Oreochromis niloticus: one gene and its partners. The protein of the gene in region 1 interacts with the protein of each later gene in a pairwise test. Links are inferred from orthologs where the notes say so. Each region holds a gene or a part of one and is shown in the gene's direction. Other genes may lie near its edges. The genes, in order: fsd2, esd, coro1a and pbx3b.

What was found.
Region 2: the proteins of fsd2 (region 1) and esd interact in binary tests that used the Homo sapiens proteins (3 or more experiments, as listed by UniProt). The two-hybrid records come from large-scale screens. The link is inferred for Oreochromis niloticus from reciprocal best matches to the Homo sapiens genes FSD2 and ESD.
Region 3: the proteins of fsd2 (region 1) and coro1a interact in binary tests that used the Homo sapiens proteins (3 or more experiments, as listed by UniProt). The two-hybrid records come from large-scale screens. The link is inferred for Oreochromis niloticus from reciprocal best matches to the Homo sapiens genes FSD2 and CORO1A.
Region 4: the proteins of fsd2 (region 1) and pbx3b interact in a two-hybrid assay, tested with the Homo sapiens proteins (3 studies listed by BioGRID and IntAct). The two-hybrid records come from large-scale screens. The link is inferred for Oreochromis niloticus from reciprocal best matches to the Homo sapiens genes FSD2 and PBX3.

Annotation. Positions count from the first base shown.
Region 1 is NC_031965.2:13,696,076-13,703,632, reverse strand, and holds the start of fsd2 (fibronectin type III and SPRY domain-containing protein 2), read left to right. Parts: upstream 1-4,551; 5' UTR 4,552-4,858; intron 4,859-4,925; exon of another isoform or gene 4,926-4,951; 5' UTR 4,952-4,980; coding exon 4,981-5,163; intron 5,164-5,423; coding exon 5,424-5,519; intron 5,520-5,742; coding exon 5,743-5,976; intron 5,977-6,138; coding exon 6,139-6,161; intron 6,162-7,014; coding exon 7,015-7,136; intron 7,137-7,390; coding exon 7,391-7,555; intron 7,556-7,557. Other genes in the region: whamm (WASP homolog-associated protein with actin, membranes and microtubules), read right to left, coding at 1,832-2,005, 2,048-2,060, 2,121-2,257, 3,669-4,244.
Region 2 is NC_031987.2:29,737,903-29,745,788, forward strand, and holds the start of esd (S-formylglutathione hydrolase), read left to right. Parts: upstream 1-4,883; 5' UTR 4,884-5,039; intron 5,040-6,451; exon of another isoform or gene 6,452-6,535; intron 6,536-6,634; 5' UTR 6,635-6,641; coding exon 6,642-6,709; intron 6,710-6,826; coding exon 6,827-6,915; intron 6,916-7,886.
Region 3 is NC_031969.2:29,278,340-29,286,180, forward strand, and holds the start of coro1a (coronin-1A), read left to right. Parts: upstream 1-4,835; 5' UTR 4,836-4,986; intron 4,987-6,105; 5' UTR 6,106-6,111; coding exon 6,112-6,309; intron 6,310-7,692; coding exon 7,693-7,815; intron 7,816-7,841. UniProt on the Homo sapiens protein: May be a crucial component of the cytoskeleton of highly motile cells, functioning both in the invagination of large pieces of plasma membrane, as well as in forming protrusions of the plasma membrane involved in cell locomotion.
Region 4 is NC_031977.2:11,506,180-11,513,930, reverse strand, and holds the start of pbx3b (pre-B-cell leukemia transcription factor 3b), read left to right. Parts: upstream 1-4,739; 5' UTR 4,740-6,042; coding exon 6,043-6,290; intron 6,291-6,886; coding exon 6,887-6,966; intron 6,967-7,751. UniProt on the Homo sapiens protein: Transcriptional activator that binds the sequence 5'-ATCAATCAA-3'.

The DNA of each region.
Region 1 (7,557 bases):
CCCTAATTTCCTGATACTCTTTACGGTCCTATCAAAATAAAGGCTAAAAATTCCCTTAAAAAAAATAATGTTCTTTCACCTACATCACAGAGTTTGAGAACCACATTAGACATAGTGATGCAACAGGTCAGTCTATTCATGAGTGCTGTGTGTGGCTCAGCAATAACAAATGAACCAGTTAAGAGTGAAAAAGACCTTTATGTGATCACTAAAGGACATATAGGTCAGTGCTGTGCAAAAGTCTAGAGCCACCTCTCATTTATTTATATTTTGCTTCCAAGGAGTCAGACTTAGAGAACACCTAACAATGACACATGAATTACTGAAGCATGGACCAGTGTTTACACAGAAGAGACAACTTAGTAAAAAACATTTTATTCATTGTGCTATTAGCTGAAGACTTAGCAGCAGCTCAGCATCATGTACAGTGTGTCCTTAAAAGACTGGGTAAGTGGAGGACAAAAGAAGTGGCAGGTCTAAAATCTGTCGACAGCAGGTAAACAGCATGTGGAAGTCATGTCTTTAAGAAACAGGAATACATCCAGGAAAGTCCTGACACAGGACCTGAGAGATCCTTGTGATGTTTTAGTTGATCCATCTACTGGTCAACGAAGTAAAGAAGCAATTCTTAAGAAAGGGAAACAAGAAGAAAAGGCTGAGGTGTGCCAAATTACATAAGAACTAGACTGACAAATCACTGACAACAGATCTTATGGAGTGATGAACCCAAATTTGACATTTTTGGTTCAAATCACTGTCGGTGAGTGTTTACAGTCATCTGTAAAACACGGTGGAGGCTCCGTCATGGTTCGGGGCTACGTTTCATTCAGGGGTGGTGTTAAAAATAATGGAATTATGAACACAGAAAAGTACCATCACATTTTGGTCCATGTTATCAAGAAAGCGCCTAGTTGGCAACGCCTTCCTTTTTCATCATAACAATGATCCCAAACACACTGCGAGTGCAGTAAAAGTATACCTGGATAGAGAACCATAATAAAACACCATCAGTCACAGACTGGCCTCCCCGGAGCCTGGACCTGAACTTTACTGAAGCAGTGCGGGATCAGCTTGACAGAGAACAGAACAAAAGGCAGCCAACATCCAAAGAAAAGTTTTCAATGTCCTTCAAGAAGCCTGGAGAACTATTCCTGAAGGCTACTTAAAAAAACTACGAGAGTGTTCAGGCTGTGTTGATTAAACTTTGTACAATTCTAACAAGCTTGAAAGTCAATTTTGCCTCACATACTGTATTTTTAGATATGTTTATATGTTTTGATAAATCACAAATGCGGGGGGGGTGCTGGAGCCTATCCCAGCTGTCATAGGGCGGGACAGGTGTCAGTGGACAGGTCGCCACTCTAACACACAGAGACAGACAACCATTCGCGCTCACATTCACTCCTGCATTCACACCTATGGGCAATTTAGATTAATCAATTAACCTATCCCACGCAAGGAAACCCACGCAAACATGGGGAGAACATGTAAACTCCACACAGAAAGACCCCGGGCTGATGGTGGAATTGAACTCAGGACCTTCTTGCTGTGCGGCAACAGTGCTAACCTGCCTGTTTTGATAAATCACTGCACCTATTTCACATTTTCCTAGCAAAATATAAAGAAATGAGGGGTTGGCTCAAGACTTTTGCACAGTATAGTAAAAAAACACTTTAAAGCATTTTTTCCACTGTCAAAGAACACTTTACATTAAACATGTACCATAATCCTCCCTTTTCATTTTCATCAAAATCTTAACTTTCTGATATCAACACTAAGTGCATCCCCTGCATGTTATCGTGTACAACATTCTAACAACGTGTGTATTTACAAGGATGTCCATCTTGTAAAGGCAGGCCAGCTCTCTCATGTCCCTGAAAGGCTGCAGCAGGTACTGGAAGAAAGTTGTGGCGACAGTCGCCAGGTCCTGGTAGGCCTCGTCTTCTTCCTCATAGATGCTGAGCAGCACGACCATCCTGTCAGCACCGCTGTGACTTTGTAGCAGCTGTGAAGATGAAAAAACATAAACACCATGATCCGGGTTTACCCTGAGCCCACAGCTTAGTTTTGCTCTGTATGACTTTTCATACTCAGAATGAACCAATCCAATCCGTGCCGGCTAACATAAGAGTCGATAACTAGGCCTTTCAGAATACAACTTGGGTGGGCTGAAGGTAGACTTGTGAAGACACTTCAAGATGAGGTTGGTGGTTGAACACCACAGGGATTCTTGGACCCGGTTCTCCGATGTTGACCACTGAAGTCAAACAAATTCAGGTCTTAAAAAACATTTTATGTGAGAGTGATGAAAATAGTGATGAAATATTTGGAACTGAGACGTCTTTTTGGTTAAGAAAATGTTAAATCGCTTGGATTCAAAATATGTAAATAGTTGGAAAATCAAGAGTTATCTATGCCCTGACATCTTCCAGCATACAAAGGGAACATGTTTGCTTTAGATATCAAAAACAATCAACACAGCAACACAAGCCTGCATCTGAGACAGCATAAGCAAAAGCTGGATATGATTTCATAAAGGTATCATATACAGCAGATCCGTAACAGTGGTTTATGTAGACATAATACCGACACTGAGTACAGATTCTGATACATTTAATCTACTTGTAGCGGTGCCATCAACAGTTTTTCTTACAGGTCCACTTGCTCATTGTTTCTGTTACCAATTCTTGATCAGAACCTTACATCTGTGTAAGGAAACAAACCAGCACAACAAGCACATTTTCAGCTCAGCGAGCTACATCATGATGCCTGTGGAAACAGGTACAGTGTGGGCATGTAAAAACTCAACTACCATAACTCAGACCACATTATTTTGATAAAAGGACATGATAAGCTTGGAGGCATGCATTCCAGCGATCTCCAGTGGATCTCAAATGGAACTAGATTTCTGCTTCAATGTCCAGCTGACGTATTTTGCTCTTCAAATGCCTCATTGGTCTATTGGCTGTCATTTTACTGCTTTTACTTCCATTTGCATGTGAAACAAACTAAACAGAGCTAAAGGGTCAGGTTGCAGGTTAAAGCAGCAAACAAGAGCAAACAAAGACCAGTGCTGGTGTTGTTGCAACATCTAGAGCCTTGGCTGGAACAGCAGCTGTGGTTTGCTGTGTCATGGTAGACCTGATTTAGGCCCACACCACAACTGAGAGGTGCTAATATGGCAGACTAGACCTTTAAACTTCTTGGGATTAGAGAGCATGCAGTCTTTTCTCATACTTCAGGGAATCATGTTTTTAAGTGCATCTAAGGTGTTGTAAGACTTCTCCTATCAGAGGTGGGGCACCAAGCAGATACAGGGCCAGTGTTGCCGATACCAATGCCAATACTTTTACCCTATAAAATGTAGATTACAAAGGGGAGAGCAGTGTGCCATGATTACTGATTGATTCATCATTAATTTACACATTCTGAACACATTTTAATGACCACTAAATCACTGTGATTTCTGCTTTCCACATTAATTAGTTAACACAACGTGTTTGGAAACTGATTTTCTGGAGACCTGGAATGTAAATGTGCCTGCCTCTAAAACACATTTATTTAACACAATCCAGTAGGCAACATACTGCACTTAGGGAACAGAAAAAGTCTCAGGCCTATCGCGCTGGTATCGATATTAGATCAATCCGCCCACCTCTACGCCTCACCTGTCTCAGGTGACCCTTGGCCCTTGACATCTCCTCCTGCAAGCTCTTCTTTTTGAACTCCTGTAAATTCTCAAAGTACTCCTCAACATCTCGGTCATCCTGTGCGAACAAGGTGTCGAGAACAATCTTCCGTCCGCAGAGGTCAATAGCGGTGCTGAAATACTTCTCGAGTTTCCTACACGGGGTGTCATAGTCCCTCTCGTCGTCATTGTCTGGACCTGATCTCCTACTCAGGAAAAGCAAGTCCCAAATGTTACCCTCTTCAAACTCCGTCAAATCCGGGAAGCAGCCTCCCAGGACGTCGGCCACGCAGGTGAACTGCTGGTGGACGTGCTTCAGATCGCTGACGGAGAAGAGTCCTGCCCAGCTCATCTGAGGGTCGTCGGCGGCAGGCTCGGATTTGCGCTTCTGCCGCTGTAACGTCCGGTTGTGGCAGGTGACGGCGAACTTGCACTCGATGACGTTCCACTGTACGATGAAGCCCAGTTTAAACGCCTCATCTTCCTCAAATATGTTGCTTTTAACGGCCACCCACCCCTCCAGACTGTCTAGTCGCTCACACTCTATGCTGTTCATCTTAAAAAGAGATGTTTCACTCTGGCCCCCGAGAAGCTGCTGGCTCTGTTTACAACGTCCGCCATTTGTCTGACGTCAGTTGCGTTCAACAGCCCCGGAAGTTATCGGTCAATATGAGCTAACGGTTTTACTAACACAGATATCTACCCTTTAAAGAATACGCTGTTTTGACATAGAATGGTAACCACGAAAAACCCAGCCTGGGTCACTAAGAGCAGGCGGGTCCCAATGCAGAAATTTCTAATCCAATGCGTTTGATGCGTCTTGAATTAAAGTTTACGAGGAACCTTGAATGCACCATAAGTCTCTGGTACTGCCTTTAACTTTGACCTTTTAATCACATGTTCGGGGATTTCCAACTCCTGAAAATTAAAGCATTTTACTTTTAGTTGTTGTTCCTTTACAATGTCAGCAAATCTCAGACCTCTGCGGACTTTCAATCACGTTTAATGAATCTATTTCATGAATAACGAACTTCCGGCGTAGATGTTTGGCATGCCTGTGAAATGTGAGCAAACACAGTCCCATCTATTTCTGTCACTGCTGTCCTGCCGGATACTGCTGCTGGCCTGAAAAGGTTGTTTAAGAACCAAACAGCTCCCTTAATTTTCCAGGTAAATTTGTTATCAGCTGCTTGCTCACTATAACAGTTCTGCTTTGTTAAATTCTCCTCCGATGCAGTTTCAGAACATTAACGGGTACTTAAGCCTCAGTCCTCCCCTGAGTCCTTGTCATCATGGACTTGTATGAGATCAGAGGAGGCAGGCTGGGTGTGATTGCAGAGGAAGCCGAGCTCCAGGAGTTAAGCAGAGAGTCTACTGCTATGGAGACCTACAATGTAGGCTCAACTCCATCTCCCACTGGAGCAGAAGATGGAAGTGATGGTGAGGAGGATGCTTTTAAGGAGGGAGAAACTGAGGTGAGGACACTAACTAACTACCTCTATTCAGCCACAGTCGTCTCACTGCATTTAATCACTTCTCTGAGAGAACGCCAGTGTGAATGGTAGCACAATACAGAAGAGTAAAATGAATAGCCGAGTGAGGGGAACATCTGATTAAGATACACTCATAGTAAACAGCAACATAAACTCTTAACTGTTAGCCCTCATCGTAGTCTGTGTTGCAGGTTTGAATTAAATGCGGAAAGAGCTCAAGCTTGTGTTATGACTGCTTTCAGGGGGAGATCATCTTGATTCGCGATCAGCTGCAAGAGAAGGTTGCAGAGATGGAGAGCTTTGCTGGTCATCTGGAAGAGATCTTCCTTACAGTGGAGGTACTACTCAAACGTCCAGTCTGATCTCCTTTGTTTTGACATAATTTTACTGTTTTATTATAATATGAATATGCAGAGATGCTTTTTTTTCTTTTTTTACTCATAGACAGTAATAAAGTCATCACAAGCCAATTTTATTACATCAAATTCTTCATTTTTCTTTGTTCTTTCCTGTACAACAAATGTGTTACCCTCTAACTCTGTCATATTATTGCACGTACAGGAGAATTTTGGCCGTCAAGAGCAGCACTTGGAACAGCACTACAATGATGTGCTGCAGACGCTGTCTCAGCGACAGGATGAGAGCGCGGCAAGGTTGGAGGAGGAGAAGAAGAGTAAGCTGGAAGCCTTGTACGGTCAGCTGCTGGCCTGCGGTCGGGCACTCGATGCCTCCAAGGAGCTCATCGAGACAGCGCAGGAGGTCTACCGCAGCCAGGACAAGAGGCTTTTCTTGAAGGTGATAAATGATTCCACTGGATCATATTTGCAGATGGCCCCAAAAATAAATAAATAAATAAAACATGGCCAGCTAATGCAATTGTGGACATGAAGCATTGATTAGCATTTATTCATTCATTTATTTTGCTATTGAAGTGATTTCTTTGGATTTTATTGACAGACAGTTATGCCCACAATTAAAAGGTAAGCATGAGGCTGCACAGTGAGTCTGCACGGTGTGACACTGCAGGTGTGATATTAAGAGACCGAGCATCAATAACATGTGCGATTTGTCTTCCCTTTAGTTTCAAACTAATTTTATTTAACTCTATATATTTTAAAATCCCAGCTGAAGATCCACTTACTAAACTTAGCACAAAAAGTAAGGAAATTTGTATTTGGTCAACAATTCTTTTTTTTGTAAGGTTGCTTCCTGCCAATAAATCTTATACGTCGGAAAGCCTGTTTATTTCCCCTTAAATGTAGCCACATTTATTAGGGAAAATGCATTTGTGGGCTGAGCAGCAGAGTTGAGTATGTGGGTTGCGCCTTTGAAACACTTGCCAAATTTCCTCTGCCAATACCAGTCAGCTTATTCTGCCACTGACTCTTGTTTGGTGTAGTTTATTGCACTGGATGATTAAAGTCTGAAGAAACAATTTATTCATTTAACAAACAGGGCCCTGAGTAGCACGTGGAAGATCCACACACAGCCACAACAGCCTGGCACCTCCTCCTCATGCTGGTCACCAGCTTGGTCACACACTGCTGTGGGATGGCATCTCAATATGGTTGTGTTGGCTGACTTGCGACAAATGCTGTTAAACTGACAATATGTCTTATTTCTTCAGACTTCAATCATTCATGTTCATTCATGGGCACAACCCACAGACCCAAACTCCATCCACTGTACAAAACATGCTTGCATGCTTGATGAAAAGCACGTAAAGTATTTATTTTATGGTCAAACTTTGAACATTGTAAGTAATCATTAGCCTGATAACGCACTGCACGCTTTTTAAAATCAGGGCTTTTTTTTTGTTCTGTACCACACTAGAATCGAGGAGTTTGCCAAAGATGAGGTTGACCTCACGCTGTCTACAAGTCTTGAATTCAACACACCGCTCGCTGACCTGTCAGATGTCAAAACCATGATGGACTCGATCAACGTCGTTCCAGGTCTGAATCTACAAATCGCCTCCTCTGGTTCACTTTCCGCCACCTCCTCTGTCACTTGAAAAATACAAATCTAGGAACACGCCGTCTCTTGCGTCACTGAAAATGAGAATCCTAATAATAGGAAGCACACAGAGGTGTCAGTGTTGAGCTTCAACCAGAACAGAGCTGTCTTAACATTTAGATTTTTGTACTCTAAAAAGACTTCTTGATAACTGTGCTGAATTTACAGTGAATCTCTGTCAAACAACCCCCAGCTCCATCTGCCCCAGTAATCAATCCCCAGATGCCCAACTCTGCCACTCAGACATCCCTGCGTGTGTGCTGGAGCTTGTTCTCTGATGACACGGTGGAGTACTACGAGCTTTACTACAGGCCGGTGCTGGAGGACACACCAGCAGACAGTGCCTTCACACCGCAGGGT
Region 2 (7,886 bases), on another chromosome or scaffold:
AACTGTATAAACAGTACCTTTGCACAATGAATGAAACTAGCCCACAGTGAGCGGCTGAACAGAATCAACTTTTTGGGATTTTCTTACCTGGATGATTGAGCATGCATCAAGACACCTTTGTAGACTTTTTTTTCTCTCCTGGGTGTCACTTTATGTATCTTTGCAGTTGTTTTCTGCCTCATTTCTTTCTGTGCTTTTTTGTAGATGTTTTGCATTTCTTTGTGTTTCTCATTTAGCAGTTTCTCTCTGGTCTGGCTTTTGTGTCTTTGTGTGGTTGCCTGAGTCGAGAGTGAAGCAATGGAATACTAAAAACTTTTCCAGTGTTCATTTACTATCAGTCAAATGAAATTACCATTTTTAAAAGCCAATTAAAACAATGAATTGATTAATTAAATTTGCATTTAAATGAAGTAATTAAAAGATCACATGTCCAATCCAGTTATTAGCTCCTTATTAATAGACAGAATTAGGAAATAGAAACTGAATTATGTTTTCATTTCTTATGGGTTTTTAATTCATCATTTATATGCAAACACTGAAACGGTCGACAGTTACTCTATTGGCATATTTCACACCCCTTGGAGCTTTAATCAAGCAGAGCTTTGGTTCTGGCAGCCCGAGAATCATCTCATCCCGAGTATCAGCTGATCTCAGTGCTACCTGATATCAGCTGATGGCCATCCTATTGGCTAAACTCAAATGGGATGAGCTACTTAAGCACCAAAGCTAGTGTTCTTTAGGGAACGAGTGAACATGCTAAGCATTCACCTACTAAACATCAACATGTGAGTGTTATTTTTGTGTGCCCCATTATTCCTAAGCAGTAGATCAGTTCTTTGTTGCCTTTTGTGTCTTTTTTCCTAGTTTGTATTCCTTTGTGCTCTTCCCGTCTTTTTGTGGTAATTTCTTGTCGCTGTGTAATCATTTCTGGATCCCTTTGTTGTCATTTTGAGTATTTTTCTGGTCTTTTGTGTTTCCCTGTGGAAGTCTTCGGTCTTTTTGTATTGTGAAAACTGGAGCCCTGACAGTTTCCCCAAACGAGTCCCCCTAACATGCCAACCTGACTGTAAACAGACACCCATAACACAAGTGACGCCAGCACACAAAACACACAAACTCACAGTATAGAGAAGAAGCCAGTCGTTAGTCTGTCAGCACGTGTCAGGATGTTGTGATTTTAATCAGACTGAAACAGAATCCAATAACTTGCTTGAGTGGGATTCATGACAACGGTATGTGTGAGTGTGTGTGTGCTTTTCTGCCCTCTTTGCGTTATTGTTCTGTTGTTCTCTCTCGGGCACATGTGGTACAGCAGCAAGCTACCTGTGTAATATTGTGTGGGCCTCTTTTATGCTCTCACAAACAGCTGACCTGCTGGGGACCTCTTGGGGTGTACTATGGCGTCTGGCATATGCCCAGTGGGAGCAGCTTGTTTGCTTGTGGATCGTGATGCTCAGTCGAATTGGAATGTGAAGCGTTTGCAGGCTGGGTCAACACCTCGGGCAGTATGTTGTGTTCAATGAGCCATTCCTAAGCAGTTTTTGTGGTGCGCTGCGTGTATTTTCCTGCTGGACTGAGCCAACAATCTGCAGCACTGATTGTTGGGTGGGGATAGCGGTAATTAACCATGCACATGAATACCATGATCAAAGGTTTCTCAGCAGAACATGTGCACGTGTGTACATGTGAATGTTTGTGTGTGTACCTAGCAAGCTGCTAAAACCCTTGTAAAACTAAAAAAGTTATTCTGAAGAAGAGAAGCAGATTTTCTGCCTTCTCTCTTTGCATTAGACATTCAGGTGAACACAGCCTGGTCAACCTGAGCTTCTGCGAAGGAACATTGCGTAGTGTGACTTGCTATATTTAAAGATTTCTCATTTTACTCCAGTAACGTATTCAGATTGCAGATTAAAGTTACTAATAATGGATTGCATTTATATAGCACTTTTCTAGGCACCCAAAGCGCTTTACAATTCCACTATTCATTCACTCTCACATTCACACACTGGTGGAGGCAAGCTACAGTTGTAGCCACAGCTGCCCTGGGGCAGACTGACAGAAGCGAGGCTGCCATATCGCGCCATCAGCCCCTCTGGCCAACACCAGTAGGCGGTAGGGTGAAGTGTCTTATCCAAGGACACAATGACCATGACAGAGAGAGCAGGGGGATCGAACCGGCAACCTTCCGGTTAAACTTCATATATCTTATCTAATGCAAACCCACTTGGTCAGCTGGGTTTGCATGGGTGGGTTCTCTTTGAGTGCTTGAGCTTCAATATACTCTTGAGGTTGACTGGTGATTATAAATTGACTGTGGATGCTTTTATATACATTTAGCTATGCAGTTTTAGCCCAATCATTTCCAATCTACCATGTAGAGCACGTGACTACTGATCCCTGAAGCCACATCAGAAATGGTCTCAATGGAAGGGTCGCTGTCAAGAAGCCTTTCTTAAGGAAGGAAATGAGAGCTGGACTGGAATCACTGACAGCAGGTTTAATGCAGTGATGAACCCAAATTTGAAAATTTTAGTTCACTTCTATGGAAGTCAGACGAGAAATACATCAGTGGATGTCTACAGCCGTCTGTAAAACTCATTGGAGACTCCGTCATTGTTCGGGGTGTTGTGGATTTTGTCAAAACTGATTGAATTGCAAACACAGAAAAGCATGTCAGATCTTGATCCACCATGCATTACCATCTGGAAAGCATCTGATTGGCAACAACTTCATTTTTCTGCATGACAGTGATCCCAAACACACTGCCAATGCAGTAAAAACATACTTTTATAGACTAGACACACTCAGTCATGGATTGGCCTCCTCAGAGCCCAGACATCAACGTTATTGAAGCAGCGTGGGATCATCTTGACAGAGAACAGAACAAAAGGCAGCCAAGATCCAAAGAAGAGCTTTGAATGTCCTTCAAGAAGTCTGGAGAACAAGGAAGAACTGGAACTGATAAACAGCCAACAAACTGTTTTGCTTGTGTTTCATTTCGCCTTCCTTTGTGTCCTTCACTTGGTTCCTCCATTATAAACTCATCATACATGATATAAAACCATTTAAATGTGTTGGTCCATTCTGCTGGAGGGATCTGCAAATGGTGGTGGACGCCAGTAAGGAAAGGATCTTAAATCTAATTTCTGTACTTCATTTTGACCACTTATTTGTACACTATCATCAAATTTCAGTTTGACATTAGCTTTAATCATAGACTGTGTAATTGTCTGTATGATATATATATTTAACATTAGATGCTTGGTCAGTGATATTGCTCTCAGTGACATCTTACCTGGTTAAATAAAGGAAAATGATGTGAAATAACATAAGATCTTAAGGATTGTCAGATTCTTCCTTGCAAAAGAACAGTAGTTAACCTGCACTTCCACAGCAAGTCACGGTGCTGATTACTGATGAAAGCCCCACTTCGTATGCAGGGACAAAAGCTCTGCCTTCTGCATCGCAGAGAAGCCAAATCAGCTCTCATCACCTGATGATGCTTTTATAGCAATGGATTTGACTGCAAAATGTTAGTCTTACTGGGATGACACAGGGATCGGCTGATCTCATACACGAGCAAATAATAATATGAAAACTGAAGAGCATTTTTTTCTTTTAGCCTTCAGAGTTGAACTAGGTATCTGTGAATATTTAATATATAAAGACTAGATTCCCAGTACTTTTGTAAATCTGGAATGCTAAATTGTAGCTTTATTCTCAAAATAAAATTGTGGCATAATTATTAAAATATGACATTACTTTTGAAAATATTATCTCTTTTATAGAAACGTTACTTTTTTTCCCTTCCACCTGACCGACTGTGTGAACGATGGAATTACGAGCAGGAAAACTGTTTGTGTGTGACAAATTCGGTTTTCAATGGAGTCCTCAAGAGCACATGGCTGCAGGCGTAACCATAATCATGTTGGGAGTGTATTTGAGGCTGCTGAGTGAATTTAATCTGTGTTTTTTTTTTTCAGTTGGGGGGTGGGAGGATGAGGGGGTGGTGGATGATTTGAAATGGTCTAATTTAGGAAGCAGCTGCAGAGACAGACTGGGCACAAGTATTAGTGTACTCTGTTTGTATTTAATAAATAATTCACAATCTAAGTTGTGCTTTACGGTAAAAGAGAGTGAAGATTACAGGAAAAAACTGATGATATGGACGGAAAAGTAAAGGAGATGCAAACCTGCAGGGAGTTAGGGAGGTGGTGTAAAAACAGACTGAGAGAGTTGCAGAGAAACAGAATTACACACATACAGAGACAATCAGATAAACATAGACAGACTTTATTGGAGTGAAACGAGACTTCATACACAATTTAAACAAATAACAGGAAGAGAAATGCAATTTTCTGTCTATCTTGGATCATAGAGTGAGATTTCTTCTGCTTTTGAAAAGTGGAAAAGAGAGGTTACCAGTTATTACATGTCTGAGTAATGCATCCATTCATGGGCAATGCAGGTGCCCCCTAAAACACTCAGGTTTACTACAAATTATGTAGACCTACAGATCCAAACTAATTAGAATGAGTACACTATTACAACATGACACTATGAAAAGCCTCTATCTTGTGGTCTAACAGTGAAAAAAACCTACTTTTGAGACCTTTGCCATTTAATTGTTTTACTGTTTTATAATGTTACAGCTTTATTCCTAAAATATGATACATGATTTAGGCATATGATTTAATTCTTAATATATTAAGAATTTATTCCGATAAACAAGTAAAATAAAGATATTATAATAAACAACATATATTATATTATAAACAACATGATATTATAATTTAACAATATTGTTAAAAGTATTACTGGTTATTGCTCTGTGACTAGCAGTGCAGCATTCTTCCTGATAAACACCGGCGCCATCTAGCGTCTATCTAGGGTTACGTCAAGTGCTGCACAATTCTAGGGGGTGGCGTCATCACGTCAACCTTGACGTTGTCGTACTGTGGACTCGGTGCTTTGCACTGCATCGGCGGGGACGTTAGCAATTTATCCAGTTACACTGATAAACTGATTGATTTAATAAGGTATGTGTTAGTCATGTGTTCTGCTGCTGCTTTGCCGCGTATCCGTGTTTTCACTTATGTAACTTTAAGCAGAAATTAAAAATGCCACTCAAAGATATCTACATGGGCTAACTTTACTTGCTAATCCCTGCACGCCCCCGATTTGTTGCACGCCAAACTCGTATTGTATTGCTGACCATTTTAACTCCGTCTGGGTATAATCTTAATAAAAGCTTAGTGTGAATGGTTTAAAAGACATGTTGCATGTATAGGAAGCGGTTATGTTTAATTCGGCATCATGCAGGACGTCATTTGGGTTAAATGTTGTACTGTGCGTGCTTTGCCCTGGTCACTGTCGTTAGTACCAGGGGTTATCTTTATTTTAAGCCAAGGCTGGAGGGTGACAGCAGCCTATAGACTGACCTGTGGTTGTATTCGGTGCTGTTGTGGTCAGATTTGACATTTTCTGTTAGCTGCAGCTGCCTCAGACTTTGAGACTTATCGCTTTTTCTCAGAGTTCGCCGACTGTACTTGCAGCGACGTCGCCTCGTGAGTACAGTGGAAAAGTAACGGACGCTTCTTAGCCGTCCCAGTTAAACTGAACCTTATTCACAACCACCTCGACATCAGTTGCATCTACCTTGTTACTGTTTGGACTCCCTGCATTTGTGCTTATCAAATCCGGGGCCTCATTTATGGAAAGGTTCTCGGGTTGGTGCTGAGCGTTTACCTGTTCATTCATGGAGCCATGTATGGAGTGTTACAGTTCTTTTAAATGGGAATGCTGCTTAACCTGACTTATTATCAGTGCTGCTGCTAATAAACAGTTTTAACAACTAAGCCAAGGTCAATCCAAGTGGACAGTAACTAACAGTTATATCACAATACTGTATTACACATGATTAGGGTGTAGTAGGATATGTTGACCTGTTTGATCTGTTTGACCTGCTCTCCTCAGGCAGGAGGCTCCGGTCCATTCGCACCAGAACCTCTCGCCACAAGAACAGTTTCTTCCCCTCTGCTGTTGGACTCATGAACAATAACCATATGACTGTTCCCACCACTAACACATGACCCTACACTGTGTTCACTGCATCATTCCATGTTTGGCACTGATCACCACTTGCACTCATGTACATATCTATCCTCTTAGCACTTTTAATTCTTATTTTTATGTCTATTTAAGAGTTGTATAACAGTATGTTTGCACTAAGTACCGCAGCAATTTCCTAATGTTGTAAACCTGCTCAACATTTGGCAATAAAACCCTTTGTGATTCTGATTCTGATTCTGAAAGCCAGGCAGTCCATATTTCAAAGACTTGCTAGTTTCTAGCTCTATATCCCCCCCCCCGATCTTCCTAGACTCAGCTAGAGAAGCTCAGTATGATTCATGATCGAAATAACCTGTATTTACTTCAAATGTTGCTTCAGTTTAGCTTCTCAGCTCATCCTTTGACTGAAACAACCCCCTTTAACCCTGCTTTCCTCTAATTGGCCGCTTTCTGCAAACAGAAGGTACATGGCAAGTTGAGTAATGTGGGATGGATGTAGTCTGAGTTACTTTAAGCAGGAGTACACTGTGTTTGCGTTTACTCTGCTGCTGTATGTCCTCAGATCAAAGATGGCCCTCACACTAGTGTCCTCCAACAAGTGCGCTGGCGGCTTCCAGAAGGTTTTTGAACATGAAAGGTGTGACACATCTTCAGACACTCCTTTGGCCTCACCTTCAGTGACTTTCTCATGTGTGTAAAAGTGTATAAATGTGACAGAAGAGTGCACTAACTTGTTTGTATTTACTCTGTGCAGCACTGAGCTGAAGTGTAAGATGAAGTTTGCAGTCTATCTGCCTCCAAAGGCTGAGACCGACAAGTGTCCCGTCATGTACTGGCTCTCTGGTGAGTTTTTGAGTCATTGTTTAACTTGATCCATTAGATTAAAGTCTGTAAATGTTAAACATTTCTGTCTTTTAGATTAGTTAATTAGTTTTCTCTTGTTTAAAAGCTTAGTAAATAAATCGACAGGAACATCCTGACTCGTATAATGCATGACAGGTGCTAAGCAATGCATTGTTTGTTTAACTGGAGAAGAGAAAATAGACCTGAGAGGGCAAAAAGCTGGAATTAGTATCAATTTGGTTAAAAAAGAGAAAAAGAGCATGATGATGATTTTAATTTATAGAGTTTACCCTCAAATTTATACCTGTTAGCTTAAGATTTTTAAGTTTGCTAACCATGCTAAATGATTAGCTGAAAGCGATAGGTGTATAGTTATGGACTACAGAATTAGCTAAAATTAAGTGGAGAAATTGTTTGCTGAAAGAAACAAATAGCTGAGAGCAATTAATAGGTTGTTCAATATTTTTAATTGTTAAAAATGTAAAAAATGTGTATTTATCAATATCCAAAAGTAGCTAACAGCGTAAAGTAATCTATTATCCAATGAAAAAAAATCTATAAATAGTGGCAACATTTTTTAAGAGTAGCTTCAAAGTAATGGCTAAAAAGATGGCTATGGGTTAGGGGTTAAGGGTTAACTGAAAAATGCTCAAGTTGTTTGCTAAAAGTAATGGAGATATGTTTAAAATGTAAGGGTGAAAAGGTGGTGGCATAACAGCAAATCTGGTAATAAATACATGGCTATATTAGCTTTTTAGGGATATAGAAATAGCTATGTAAATTGTGAAAATCTATAAAGAAAATAAAAGTTCACTGTGATGGTAACAATTAAGCCTCAGTCACATTGGACTGTGACGAGGAAGAATCTGTGATTTCCAGGTAAGTGCACTGGATTTTTTTACAGATTGGTCTCCCAATCAATAGGCAACGAGATCTCAAGTCGCACTAATTGTTGCAGTAATTTTGTTCAC
Region 3 (7,841 bases), on another chromosome or scaffold:
AGATGCTTTTAATCCTTTAATATTTTCCAGCGGCTAACTATAGGAGAGAGACAGTTTTCAGGTGGTGGATGCACTTCAGGTGTCACTATCTAAATCTTAGATCTCCTTTTTGTTCAGAACAATTTTCAACTTTGAGCATCAGTATCACGGGATGTGTACACTGCTCAATAAAATTAAAAACACATCAGATCTCACTGGGAAACAAAATCAAGTCTGGATATCTACAGCGATATGACTGGAACGAAAGGATGCCATGTCATTTGATGGAGATGAAAATTATGAATTCAAAGACACTGAAAAGTTATGTGGGAGGCTAGTCCAGGTAGCCAAAATGTCATTGCAGCATTTCAGAGTGGTTCTCCTGGAGGATCTCCATCAAGTGCTGGACCAGGGCATCGCTGGGCTCCTGGACAGTCTGAGGTGCAATCTGGCGACATTGGATGGACCAAAACATAATGTCACACAAGTGTTCAATTGAACTGGGTCAGATGAGTGTGGGGCCCAGTCAATGGTGTCAATTTCTTCATCCTCCAGGAACTGCAGGACACACTACACCAGTGTAGTCTGACAGTGGGTTCAAAACTTTCATCCCGTTATCTCGGTTATCACTGCTGAGCCTGTAGAGGTCTGTGTGTCGACCACCAAACCGGTGATGCTGAGTGACGCTAGAGGCTGCATAATATTCTCCGGACTCTGTCATGTCTGCCAGAGCCCACTAGAGGGCGTCAAGCCCTCAGGCCAGCCCTCACACCAGTGGCCTGCTGGAGGCTCTGGCATTGCTCATCAGATAGCGATCCTGCGGGGGCTTTTTGACATTTTTGCCTTCATTGAATTGTAAGAGTGAAGACAGACTGGAAGCAGGGAGAGAGAGAGGAGGACAGACATGCAGCAAAGGGCCACAGGTTGGACTCAAACCCGGTCACGCAGCATGGGGTCGCCTGCTCACCCACAGAGCTAAACTGGCACCGAATGTCCCAGAAAGTCAACTGACTTGATTCTATACTCTGATTAAAAAGCGTTCCTTAAATTTGTTTGAACAGTTTATTGTCTAGGATGTAGAGTGACAGAGACCTGGATTTGTTCTGATACGTCCAAAACAACCTGATTTTTTTTTCCCCCCTCTGATTCCCCTTGTATCAAAATTAATTCTTATATGTTCATTTTTAAATGGTTGTCAGATTTAAGTTTGAGATTCTGTCTGCTGAAAGAATTACAAATGTGTGAGTGAAAATGGTGCAATTCAAAGTAACATTTACAAGAAGGGGGTCAGGTGGGAATCTTTTTTCTGATTTGGCTGATTTTAATTGAATTACCTACACACAGGCTGATATCTAACTGTACTGTATACTGTACACCCCAGATTATTCACAGATGTAAAACATTCAAACAGCTGCCAGTCAAAGTTGCATCTCAACAAACCACATGAATTCAGCCATGTCAGAATCAGTTTCTCTTTTAGCACATAAACACATTGTGGCTATAAGTATAAGGATGTTGAAAAGACGGTGCATAAAGCTGCATCTGGCTAGAAGGAAAAAACACACAAAAGTAGAAGAGTTGGGCAGATTTGAACAAAAGGCTGGCAGTGGCAAGGATATCGATGGTTACGCCCTTGTCCAGTACAGAGGATGTATGCTGTATCACAGCTGGTCCAGATGTTTCACTAACTCATCTACAGGTTTTGTAGAGGGTTGTAGGAGCCGTGGCAGTTGTCTGGCTTGAAATGACAACTGTAATATTCACGTTTTGACTTTTTTCTCAAAATACTATTTTGAGTTTAATCTTGAAATTTCATCTTAAATCTCAAAATGGACACTTTTCTTAATGTGGCCCTAATACTCTGTTGTACTATAGTGTAACTTCCAGAGTAAATAAAATGTTTTAAAATCTTTATTGGGGCCAAAGTTGGTAAATACTATAAGTCTGGTCTTACTATATTTGACTGGTGATTCCATGCATTGAAATTAAAGCTTATTTTATATTTTATTTATTTATTTTTTATCAATTCTTTTTGGGGGACTTTGGTATTTGCAAAGGGAAATACATTTTAAGAAATAAATCAGTTTATGTTGAGTTTGTTTGCAGCAATATATCTCAGAAACAGCTTGCACAGGGCCATTTTTGCTACTGTGTAGCATCCTCTCTTCTTTAAACAACACTCTGTAAACCTCTGGGAACTGAGGAGGACACCAGAGGTTGGACTTTTGAGGGAGGAATGTTGCCCCATTCTTGTCTGACAGACAATTGTAGCTGCTTAACAGTCCTGGGTCTCCTTTGTTGTATTTTTGGTTTCATAACACTAAATGTTTTCCATTGGTCAAAGGCCTGGACTGCAGACTAACCACTTCTACTATAAACCCATGCTGCTGTGATAAATGTGGTATGTGGTTTTGCATTGTCTTGCTGCAGTATGCAAGGCTTTCCCAGAAAAAAAAAGTACTATAGTCCAATGTGACGTAGGCATGCCCTGGTAAGGAAATACAGTTGTCCTAGTTCTGCTGCATTAAACCAAATGATATGTGAGTGTCATTTGCACACATGTTTTTACACTTGTGAGGACAAGTGTAAAAACATGTGTGCATGAGGTTTTCTGTCAAAACAACAAAAAACAGGAAGTGCTTTAGCTCTGCTACTCAGGGATTAGACTGAGTTTGCTTTTATAATAAAACTTATAGAATAAAAGTTTAGAATTTTAGGAGTTGAAAAGTTCTCCCTGCTGTTTGAGTATTGCATTTCCTTATAGTTGAAGGATTTAAAAGAGGTTTAAAAGAGCACACCTAGAGGCCCATGCATTCAAATGATTCTCCTTTGGCTGCTCCTTTTAGCAGTCACCACAGGGGATCATGTGCCTCCATCTCACCTTGTCTCTAGCAATCACCTCTGTCACACCAACCCTCTTTCACAAGATCTGTGACTCTTCTCTGTGGTCTTCCTCTTTCCCTCCAGCTGGGCAGCTCCATGTTCACCATCCACTCACCTCCTCTGCACATGTCCAAACCATCTCAGCCTTGCCCCTACAAATTGCTCAGCCTATGCATCTTCCCTTTTTGCACCTGTCTCATTTTCATCCACACAGATATTCTGCCTTGCCTCTACTGACTTTCATTGCTCTTCACTCCAGAGCATACCTCCACCTCTCCAGGCTCCCTTTGCAACTGCTCCCTACTTTTGCTACAGATCAGAATGTGCTCTAAAAACATCATAAATCATGGAGACTCCTCAATGACCTCATCTGGTAGCCTGTCCATCACCACTGCAATGAAGAAAGGGTTCACAGCGGTCCCACACAGACTTTGAATTCTGTCCTGCACCACACATACTTCTCTGTCATTCGTGACTTCCTCATTCAGCAACACAGTTCCTCTCTTAGCACCTTAACATATGCCACAAAGATGCACTGACGCTCCTTTTGACCTTCTATGTACTTCTCCATCAACTCTCTTCAAAGCAAAAAAAACCTGACTATACTGCCCTTTAGGACCAGTACACTTTTCCTCCCTTCCTCAGACATCCTCTCACTCTCCTAGGCTTTGGTAAACAATCTGTCAATCTATCAAGTCCACTTCCCTCTCTCCCAGACATCTCCACTGGTATATCATCTTTACCAACCACCTTTCCACTCTTCATCTTCTCATGGCTGCCCTGACTTCCTCTTTTCTAATCTCGTGCACTTCCCGATTCACTAACTGTCCTCCTCTCTCCCATTTTCTTCACTCAGCTCCTCAAAATACTCCTTCCACCTTCTCAACTCTCTCTTCACTCATAAGTACATTTTCATCTCTTTCCTTAATCACCCTGCACATCTTTTCCAGCTCGATCTCTCTGCCTAGCCGATCAATACCAAGTCATTTTCTCCTTCCTTAGTGTCCAGCCTCAGATACAACTCACCAAGCCTTTGCCACCCCTCAGTTTCCACTACACCTAGCCTCCAAGCACTCCTGTCTACTTTCTTTGCTAACCTCTTGCAATGGTTAAACTATTAAATTACAGCATCCCTCATTTCCCATAATGTAAGAGTAAGCCTTTCCACAGGCTGAGTAATCATGACTAATAAAGTGGCATCATGTGTAAAAACAGCTGATTGCCAGTTTAAGTCTAATTAGGTTTGGTGTGAGAACAGTTTGCTGTAAATGTGATATGTAAATAAAGTGGGTTAGATTAGGGGTTAACCTGAAATTCAGGGTCCTTTAAGAAGCCAGTCTCAAGTCTTCAGACTCTGACAGGTTATTTGAAACATGATCTAAATAACTTTAATTTCATTTGCAATCATCAGCATGTAAACTGCAGGTGTCCCCAGTTAGACTCGAGAAACTGCTTAAAAACTGAAAATTAGGCCTTAAAAACTGTTTTTTTTTACCACCATCTTTGCTCTTGCTCCCACATATTTAAATTTAGGATTCTTTGTCTGTCTTAGGATTTGTCTGATGCCTTATATAAATCTTATAAAATAATAGCAGCAGATGAGAAGCCTCTTATAGAGTATTTAACTCTAATATCTGCAGAAATCATGAGTCAAAAAGAACAGACATGCACTGACATCCATCACTGAAGAAAATATTGAGTTTTTTTCTTAACTTAAACTCTGTGAGCTCTTCAGACACACTGCATTTATCTGTGTTGTTGGAAGTGAAGTGGTTCTGATAATCAGGTGACTTCTAAGCAGCAGTGGCCTGCATCTGTTTGCCGTTGTTGGTAAGTGTGGATTGAACTCTGCATTGCACCGCTAGACACTTTTATCATGATTCAATCCTACAAAAGATCTCATGCAGTGCCCTGTGTTTCACTTTGGTTTCTGCAGCTTGTTGCAGACGGCACATGTCACAGCCGACACCTCCTACTTCCACCTTGTTTGAAACTCTCACTTCCTCCCTGTCATTTGTCATGTACTTTAACCTACAGTCTCCTCTCGTGTTCTCATTCTGGTGGCAGGGCGTTTGGTGCACTGCCAAAACTCCTTGAGCTGAATCACCCCCACTCGACTCCCAGGTAGGCCCACATCATCTCTTTGCAGTCTCAACCTCTTGAAGATATCATCTTACCTGCAATCGGTGCATTGGTTAAAGAGGGAAATAGCTGAAGCTAACCGTATGTCATTAATTTCAGTGACACATTTTTGTTTCTCATCTTCCACATGGCCTTGAGTTTCTCCTATTTCAAGGCAGTGAATTGTTTCCTACTTCGTACTGGTCAATGTTTTCCATCACAACACAGAGAGATAGTGGTCGAGACAGATTACTGACATGCATTTAGAGTCCTGATAAAATTACGGCTCACTCTGTAAAGGATTATTAAATTAGCTGCAGAGAAGCCCGAGAGGTCTTGTGATGCACATGCAGCAAAACTAACTGTCATACGCTACCGAATCTGAGCTTAGGCGCGGCTGCAGATTTCAGGAAGTAAACTCTACAAATGGAGGTAAAGAAAGACTTATTTAGTGCTTTTCATCTGTTCCTGCGTGATGCAAAGTTCGTATATTTTGCAGCTGCTTTTGATTGAAGTTCTGATCTCATTGCGCACACAGACACATGCGTTTACTGGATATGTTTCAGCTTACTTCGTCAAATATGTCATTTAAAGCATGCCCTACATGCGGGGAATTAAATAACAGCATGACTGTATGAACTAAGGGAAAGAAAGGTTTGTGGTTTTGTTACTCTCTTTGTAGGATGTGGTGTAACTGCCGCTCGGGCAGCTTCTGTACCTTTTTTAAGGACACTGCATGTGCTTTAGATGATAAAAGGCCTACTTTTTTGTTTCCTTTCTGCTGTTTTTTTTGTACATTTGCTTGCTATTTAATATTTCTGTGTTTCATACACACATATTAAAAAGAGAAGGCGATAGAGTGCCAGAGTACCAGTCACAGAGGAAGCAGTTGTGAAAGCTTTTGCTTCTTCCTTTTTTAGCTTTCCTCTGTTGAGTCTTTCAACGGTTTCATCAGCTTTGTGTCTGTCAGATTATTTCCGCATGAAATCAAAAAGCACCAACAAACAATATGATTTATGATGACCCATAAAATAAATCTCTCTCAACTCTGCTACAGACTTCTTGCTCTTCTTGCACATTAATTTTCTCCTCTTTGCGCACTTTTTTTTCATTCTTTCTCAGTTCACCATGTCCAGAAAGGTTGTGAGGACCAGCAAGTTCCGTCACGTCTTTGGCCAGGCTGTGAAAGCTGACCAATGCTACGATGACATCCGAATCTCCCAGATGACCTGGGACAGCAATTTCTGCTCTGTTAACCCCAAGTTTGTGGCCATGATTGTGGACGCCAGCGGTGGGGGAGCCTTCATGGTGCTTCCGCTGAGCAAGGTGGGTCACAGGAATCACCAGGAAACAAAAGAACACAAATAAACCCACCGTTTGGCTCTATACTGTTTTATATACTTCTCTTAATACCATGTTTAGGTGTGTTAACTATTACAGATGCAGGTTGGGGATTAAATTTTGTTTTAGCAGCATTCTTGCACTTTAAAATTTGAATGCTGCCAGTCACCATCACACATTCAGCTAAATAAGGAAGTTTGATGCTGTCTTTGAGTCTGTCTACACGTCACTTGCTCTGCTGTTGAGAAGTTTTCACCATATTAGGAGTTTGTTGTCAGCTCAGTGTAGGAGGACAGGATGTGGCCTCAACCCACTTATTGTGCAGTCACTTAAAGAGGGCGTTAGGTTAGGGCTTGCAGCTCGTTTATTGCATTTTATGTGCCCGAAAAAGTGCAAAATTGCAAACCTTGTAGCCGAGTTAATGGCCAGCTGAATTTGTCAGAGGCTGTGAATTCAGTGAAGTGTCTGTCCTGATCACCTTTGTGTTCACTCGGGCTTGGGAAGTTCGTTGTGTGCAGGCACTGAAAATGCTTACAGTGAGGTCAGGTGTTTTTTATGTGATTGTGGTGTGAAGACTGTACTTCAGAAAGATGTCTACTCTTTTTTCACTGAATAATGTCACTGCTGCTTGCTGCTGCAGTTAGCTACAGAGAGATCACTGTCTCCTAGCATAAACTTAATTACCATCTCCTGCAACTAATTATATCATTAGAAATGAAAGTGACAAGAATCTGAACGTCTTGTCCTTATTTTACCTGACAATTATATTGTCCCACTTTGTGGTATTAAAAAGGCGATTTTAAACGATCTTAAATTTACCTTTGTGAAGCCTGCAGAAATCACATTATTCATGGTCTTATCTCGCGTCTAGCATGCGATTCTCAAAGGACAAAAATAAGTGCAGGGACCAGTGGGCATAAAATTGCAGAGCTGCGCTGTAGTGGAAAAAAACTCATCCTGTTTTGAACGTGATGCTGGCATGGTTGTGTCATCCTGCTTTAGGGCCCAGTGGTTTTTTTAAGGTTTTACCAGAATGAATTCAACTACATGGAGCTAAATGTGACTGACTTATAATGGAAAATATAAAAATAAAAATGATGTGTAATTGTCATTTTTCCCAGACAGCTTCATGACTGGGTTTCCTCTTCTTGGCCCTGATCTCATTTTTAACCCACTTAATAGAAATGAGCGCTCATTGAAGGCAAAGCTGTGTAATTGGTGTCAGCTGATAAACTTCTCCTCATCTAGCTTTGTCTTCTTTTTCTTCCATTTGCTCTTTGCTCTTTACGTTTTGTAGCTGCAGTGTTTTCTGCACTGCATGCATGAGTCATAGTCAATGTCCTCCTATCCTGATGCTTGCCTCTGCAGACAGGACGTATCGACATGTCCTACCCCACTGTATGTGGCCACACGGGTCCGGTCCTGGACATCGAGTTCTGTCCTCATAATGACAACATCATTGCCAGTGGCTCTGAGGACTGCAGTGTCATGGTAAGGCAATAAAGTCTGACACGGAA
Region 4 (7,751 bases), on another chromosome or scaffold:
AGCAAAATTCTGTCATGTACCAGAAACATGGTTGAGAGGTATCACGTTTTATTAGTTTAACCTCACATACAGTATTTCCTGTAAACTGTCAACCAATATTTACTATTTACTAGTACTTTTGTATCTATATTTTCTTTTTGAGACTGTGTTCAGTTTGCTTTCTATTTCTTTTGCATTTGTATTTTAAAGTTCACTTGAAAGCCTCCACTAATTTCTTTGCAGAAGAAGACTTTATGTCCAAAACACGTAAGTAGCTTTATTTTTACACTCAACAGTACATAAAGCAATTAAAATCAACTCCTCCTCGATGAGCTTCAACTTAAAAGTGCTTCATGAAAATGCAATTAACGAGAGCCACAGTCCTGCATAATGAATACTTTTAATGTTGGTGCTATAAGTACATTTTGCTGACAATGCTTTGGAAAGCAGGATTTTTAATTTAATTAAGGATGTGAATACTTTCTCCATACATACTTTTTGATTCTACTTCAGTTTTTCATTGTGTTTATGAGTTATCATGTTGTGTCTGCCTTATGTGTATTACCCATCCTGGATATTTGTGTGTATTTGTATTGTTGAAGCGTGTGTTACATGAATAAAAGTAACCTGACTCTACCTGACTTGCACCCGCATCAGAAGCATATACGTCAAAATGTTTAATGGCACTGCTTCCTGCAGATTAAACCAATATTCATGCTACTTCTATCCACTCTAACATTTACAAGCACAATGAAGATGAATTGCATGCACAGCAGCGACAAATATCAAGAAATAAATAAAATATCCAAACCAGATGAAAGGCTGTTTATAATTGGGTTAGTAATATCCCTGGCACCGTCTGCTAGGTCATTTCCTTCAATCTCCCTGAGCAACAGGGGATCATACAGGCGACACTCAGAACAGGAAGTGTCTCGCCGCTCCGTGACAGGCTGCCTTCTTGCATTCTCTCACCTTCTTCAACACCAATTCAAATACAAGGAAGCCGGGAGAAAAGACATCTTCACTCGCACTACACCCGGTGATTTCACAAATCCTTTAATGATTTCTGACCCTTTTTGTGGACAGCGAAATTGTGAACTCATGCACCCATAACTTCTCACTTAATCTGTATTACTCTCATCACAACAGAGCAAGCCACTCTATCAGTAAATGCTAATCTCCTAATTAACAAGCTAATTAGGCAATTACAGCTTTGCAGAAGGATGCCTAAATGAAATATGACAACACAGTCACTTTCCACAGCACCTGTGGGTCTTTTCAGATGTCACGATGAGAAGCATGATGACAAAGTGTTGTCTCTGCACTCATAGGTGCTTATTCCTATGCCTCGCTAAGCACATTTGTAAAAATATTGTCATTTTATTTAACCTAATATGCAGTACTTGTGGAAACAACATGTCAAATTACGTCTAAATTATTTCTCCTCAGATAAACTGACCTGCACTGTTTTCACACCAGCAGCAGTGGTTAGCGCAACCCCTCGGTTATGTAAAGATGGTTTTGTCAACTAGTAGACCCACAGTGTCTTACTGTAAGGAGCTGTCACATACGGAAATGAATTATGTTGACATATGGCTGAAAACAACGGCGAATAGGCCTGCTATGCAATGCAATGAAGAATCATGCACTGCAACAGAGGAGAGGAGTCGGAGCCGTACCTTTGAGCCCCTCTTGACAGGTATGCAGTGTGACTTGACAGCTCAGTATTTCAATGATAAATGCAGTAGTCCTGGGACTCCCATTCACTAAACTCAGGAGTGCATTGCTCCCATACTTCAAGGTCAAATGAATGAGCAAAACCACACAGACCACTAAAGACAAATTAGAGTTTTTTTCGTCTTCACATGTTGAAATTGATTGTGATGTGAACATTTCAAACTTTGGAATTTGGTAGATACACTAATGCAAACTTTCAGCATCAGTGATTTCCTTTAACTTGACCACGTCAGTCGATTTTATTGTGAAACAATTATATATTCATTTATAGGTAAGGTTTTCTGACCTATTCTAGTAAGAAAATCAGAAGCTGAAAAGTTATTTTAAGTAATGACTCACCGTATCATGACTTCAAACGAATTTCTTTCAGTAAAAGTTGCTTCCTTTTCACAACTGAGTTCTGACTCATGAAGATGAATCATTCGCTAAAACTATTCACTATTTTAATACAGTATTACGTGGACCCCTGACAGCTGCCAGGAAAATATTCAAAAAGGAGCACTTCCTGAAGTAATAAGATGATTCTAATAATGCTGAACAGATAATGCAGTGATGTAAAATATGGTCATGCCACATTGTATCTATCTTTACCATCTATATGAGACAGGTAACTTTCACAGGTGTCATCAGAGCTTAAAATGCGTTAGCTATGTGTGACATCACTATTATAACGCGCTGTTTTTGAATATTTGCCATAGAGAAAGTAAAGACCACACACTGGATCACATCAGCGAGATTTCCACAGTCCACAGCCATAGTCTCAAACCCATAGTCAGTCTCTTACTTTATTCCAGTGTCAGCTACACACCTATAATATTTTGCAACTGCATCTTGCAGAGTTGTGACTATCATGTTGACAAAATCTGTCAACAGACACACAGACGAACACCTGCCAAAGCACTAAAAAACGCCTTTGTGGTGGTTTCTGCAACATTGTCTTGACGACCACATTTTGTCACAGTGACACACACACACACACACACACACACACACACACACACACACAGGTAGACGTACACACAAAGACAAATAGAGCAAGGTTAAAACAATATCAGCTGTTACTAGTAGATATCAAACTTTCATATAAATGACAAAGACACTTAATCAGGGAGCTACAAACATATTCAAGCTTAAGAAGAAGGTGGTATTTTGTGAAGCTGCCATAGCCCCCAGCAGTCCCTCTATTGGTCAAACAACACACATCTTTGATTCCTGCCTTCATTTTGAGCTCAGCATCACATCTGTAAATCTTTGAAGCTTTATACTGTACAATTGCGACACTGCCGTGTTGACAAAATCTGTCCACAGACAGACATACAAACACCTGCCAAAATACTCAGAAGTGCTTTTGTGGTAGTTTCCGCTACAGTAGTTGTCTCCAGGAAGACAGTTTTTCATGATGACGCACTGACAGACTCACAAGTTGAACATGATGCCAACTTTCCATGTCACAGTAACTTCTGGTGTTCATCAAATTCAGACTTACATTTTCCATAAAATGAATGAGCTCTTTTTCATTTTTTTAAAAAAATCTCTTTCTCTTTATTTAAAAGGATCAACACAGTTTAATGAACATCAATATACCAAATATGTATATTTGTCAACTATACATGACATGTTTAAAATGCAAAGATGTCACATTACAGAGAAACTGGTAGTTTACATCTGTAGACGCAGGGCAGGTCAACATAAACCTTTCAAATAAGCAAAACCAAACAGATATATGACAAAAACAAATAAACTTATTGTCATTCTGCAAGTCTATTTACTTTTAAATTTTGCTTAAAAGAGTGATATACATGCTGCACATGCATGATTTAGTCTTTTTTACATCTATGATTGTTTTTGGCAAAAATGTTACAGTTTTTCTCTACATTTGATGTTTCATGAATTAAGCTAATTCCAAATCTGATAAATATGTACACATGCAACATAGTCAAAATTACAGGCAGATGTTGACTATACAGAACATCCTGTTTGTATTTTGATGAAATTAACTGTGCAAAAATAACTAAATAAATAGATATTTTAAATGCACATGTTCACTCAGTGTGCTAAAAGGTGCTTTTAGAAGAATCATGCTACATCCTGGTATATTGTAAAGTACTTTGCGTCCACAGTACAAATCAGCAGGCTAGTTTTTAAAAAAAATTATTTTACTATGAGAAATCATGCATAACGTAAAGGAAGAGTGCGCTCACAGAGGGGCTCTGCCCAAGTTTGAACCCAGGAGTCTGGCTGTGAGGCAGACGTGCTAACCGCTGAACCACCATGCTGCCTGCTGAAACTCCCACTTCCATTATTGATGGCTGCACATTCACCTTTGAACACAGTTACCAACTGGATATAGCACTTTTCTTCAGAAGTAATAAATAGCATTTTAGGCAGCGTTTCTGCTTTTTCAGAGGTCCAGTGAAACACTGGATGGGCCACTTTAAACTACTTAGACGTCATTTATTCAGTGATGTCAGGGTGGAAGAAAAGTGGCTGGTGGAGAATTTAACAACTCACTTGAGCAAACAAGACCATATATTGCAACACGGCCGTGCTTAAATAATGTTTATGTGACTTTGTCACTTCATTGCAGGGTAATCAGAACCAAGCAAAGCCTATTCATCAAAAGTTCACCATTAACGTCTTTGCACAACACAAGCCCTCCTTTGAAAATGTGCTTTCTTCGTATAAAACTCTGTCCACATCCTTTATTCCTACACGTTATCGCTGAATTCATTTTAACTGAAGGGAAACCCCCTATTTTCTTTTTTTTTTCTGATCTCGATGCTTATAGTAGAGGTGCACTGTATATTTGCTGCCATTCCTCCGGCTCAACAACTTGTCTGCTGCCATAGCAACTGCGAAGGAGCACAGAGCAGCGCCGCCTGCTTGTGCAGTGGATGTCACTCGTAGCAACGACCAATCAGAAGTTCCCATCCTTTTGTAAGAGCTGTGGTGAAGATGGAGGGATGAAGTGGGTGGGCTTTCGGCATCATGCATCTGCCAGCATAGGACGCGGAGCTCGTCAGTCTTCGTCATTCTCGCCCGGGATTGGTCGAGGAGCTTTACTTTCCAATAATATAAACATGTCTACTGCTTGCCTGGCTTGAACCGAGGCTTACAAGGGACTGTGCAGTTCTACATCAAACTGTATAAAAACTCTCATTATGTGTTTGCTTGTATTGCTGCAGAGCTAAATCTTTGTTATTGCTAGAGAATATGCACATAGCTGCACGTGCACGCGTGAGGAAACGAGGATACCCTGCTGCCGCTGTTGCAAGAAAGAGAGGGGACTCAGCCGTGCTTTCATCATTATAATCACCATCCTAAGTACTAGCGCTTAACATTTTGTTTTTCGGTGTTCAGGCGAGAAGTGACAAGAATATAGACCCCTCCTCTGCAGGGCGGAGCGTGCATTTTCATTTCGTATTTTGTATTTTTTTTTTTTTGTGATTATTTTTTTTCCTGCCCTCTTCCCTGCTCTGACACGTCTGCACTGAGTGAGTGGCATTGGCACACTGTCAATCGCTCACTACCGCTGCCATCAAACAACATAAAACACACACAGGCAGAGGCTGGAGCTCATAAATTTCAGAAGGGCAAGATATTTTTTTGCGCATCGCCTTTATACAGCGTTGTCTCCTAATTAATTTCTTCTCGCCGTTGCTTTTTTTTCTAGGCAGAAATCTCCCAACTTTTTGTACATTTCATATTTTTTGTAGTCACATTTGGAAACCTTGCTGCAGATTGTGTATTTTTTTTTAAATACTGTCAGTTGTCGCGGGGATAATTTCTGCACATTTATAGTTGACACCTGCGAGCCTAAGATTGTTTTTTTTATTTGTTTACACGTTTTCACAGCGGATATCTTTTTTTTTTTTTTTTAATTTTGTTGCCGGTGCTTCACGAGGAGGATTTGGACATTTTCGAAAGGAAATGCGCCGGGAATCCCACGAAGAGCGTTAATAAATGAGAGACCACCAAGGACCGTTTCTGTCTCTACCGCCCGTCAAAACCCAGAGAAAAGACTGATTGCTATGAGGATCCGTGCGGGATGTGATGGACCGTCAATTTTGACAAACAAGTTTTAAAGAAGAAGAGAAAAAAATATTTATGCGATTTTCTACAAACACAGCCAAAATCAGCGTTTTGGCACTTTGGACCGCGCGTAAAGCGACGACAACTTGGACACAAGATTTACGCTAAATAATAATAATAATAAAAACTGCTGCATATTTTTGACAAAAATCGCGTGTGTGCTGCCTAACGCCGAAGAATCACACAACCGTACATCCTTCCAGTCTGCGGCACATGTTGTAGCCGATTTCGTATATGAGTTTTTCAATTTGTGTGGCTCAGTGCACAGACTCTTTAGCGGCTACTATGGACGATCAAGCCCGGATCATGCAGTCGATCGGCGGTGTCAGTCTGGCTGGCCACTCGGTACAAGGAGGCATGGCACTGCCGCCTCCACATGGACACGATGGGACAGACGGAGACGGAAGAAAACAAGACATTGGTGACATTCTGCATCAAATAATGACCATAACTGATCAAAGTCTGGACGAGGCGCAAGCAAAGTTGGTTGATTTATATGTTTTATTAACTTCGCCACACCAAAAAAAGAAAAGAAAAAAAAAAAACGCCGAACGCATCATTATTGAGATGTGGCCCGTTTAACTTAACTCCCCAATGCACAACAATAGGCTGGAGTGGCTTTAATGATAATCTCACTCTGAGGTGTATTTATTGCCTCGCAAAGCTTTAACACAGTGAAAGTTGCCACTGAGGGAAGCACAGCATTTTAGTTAAACTGTCCTAGAGAGCACGTGTTTTATAAATGTTCATTCATCTACAAAAGTCTACGTGGTGTTGAAACACAATTAATGCCAGTGGGCTCATGTTATGCAGGGAATTGCCACTGAGACTAATATTTACATTAGGGCTTGGTGTTATTTATGAAATGCTTTTATTAAAAAACCCCCCAATAAAAATAGCATGACACATTATACATTTTAGAAGAAAATGCTAACTTTCTGAAGAAGAGGCTTGGAACATTGGAACATTATTAAAGTGGCAACTAAACTTAAAAGCGTGTCCAACCCTTTTAACTGTTTGTGTCAGACATGTGAACTATCATTGAACTTATTTCAGTATTTTATTTTCTCTTATACTGAAACAGGAAACACGGACTGAACTGTCACAGAATGAAACCAGCACTCTTCAGCGTTCTCTGTGAAATCAAAGAAAAGACAGGTAAGATCTTTGTCTAAAATACTGTAATATCAAACTATAAACTCCATCGTTACAGTGATACATGCAATTGGAGAATCAATAAAAGCACACAGGCATTTCTTATTTTATTTTTTTACCTCTCAGTGAGCTGATGACAGCCTGCATCCAGGTTATAGGTGACCTCTGACCGAATGAATCAGTCACTTTTTAAAAATATGTCACCGTACCACTCAGAAACTCCCGTTGTCACGGAACAATAGGCAGAGTCTTCTTCCACTGAAGATGCTCTTTTTTTCTTATGCAAGTGTGTTTTAAAGCACTGGTTTGCTTGGATTTGAACATAAAGTGCGCTCCAGATTTCACACTCACCACCCTGCCAGTGAAGAGGCTGGGGGAGTCCCGTAGCATATGCTCTACATATCCTAGATCACACAGAATCCATGCTGTAAAACCTGACAACGTTTTGCTATCAACTTATAAGAGATTTTTTTATTAGTCAGATTATACGACAGGCTCGCAAATTCATAATTCGATTGCAGTTGTATGAAAGCCTTCCTGCAAAGGTGGATGGTTGATCTTGGAAAATGCAAACAACACATCTCCTGGAAGCTTAGTTAGAGAAAGGGATTGTGAAATAATAATAAAAAAAATCTTCTTTTTATATATTTATATGAGCATAAACTCTGTTATTTCTGTTTTTTTAGGACTAGGATTGAAAACCTTTAGCATGCACACACACTTCATTCATATATTATTGAGAGTTGTAATTACAAGTTTTGTGTCATAATTTTTATAGCTTGAACTTT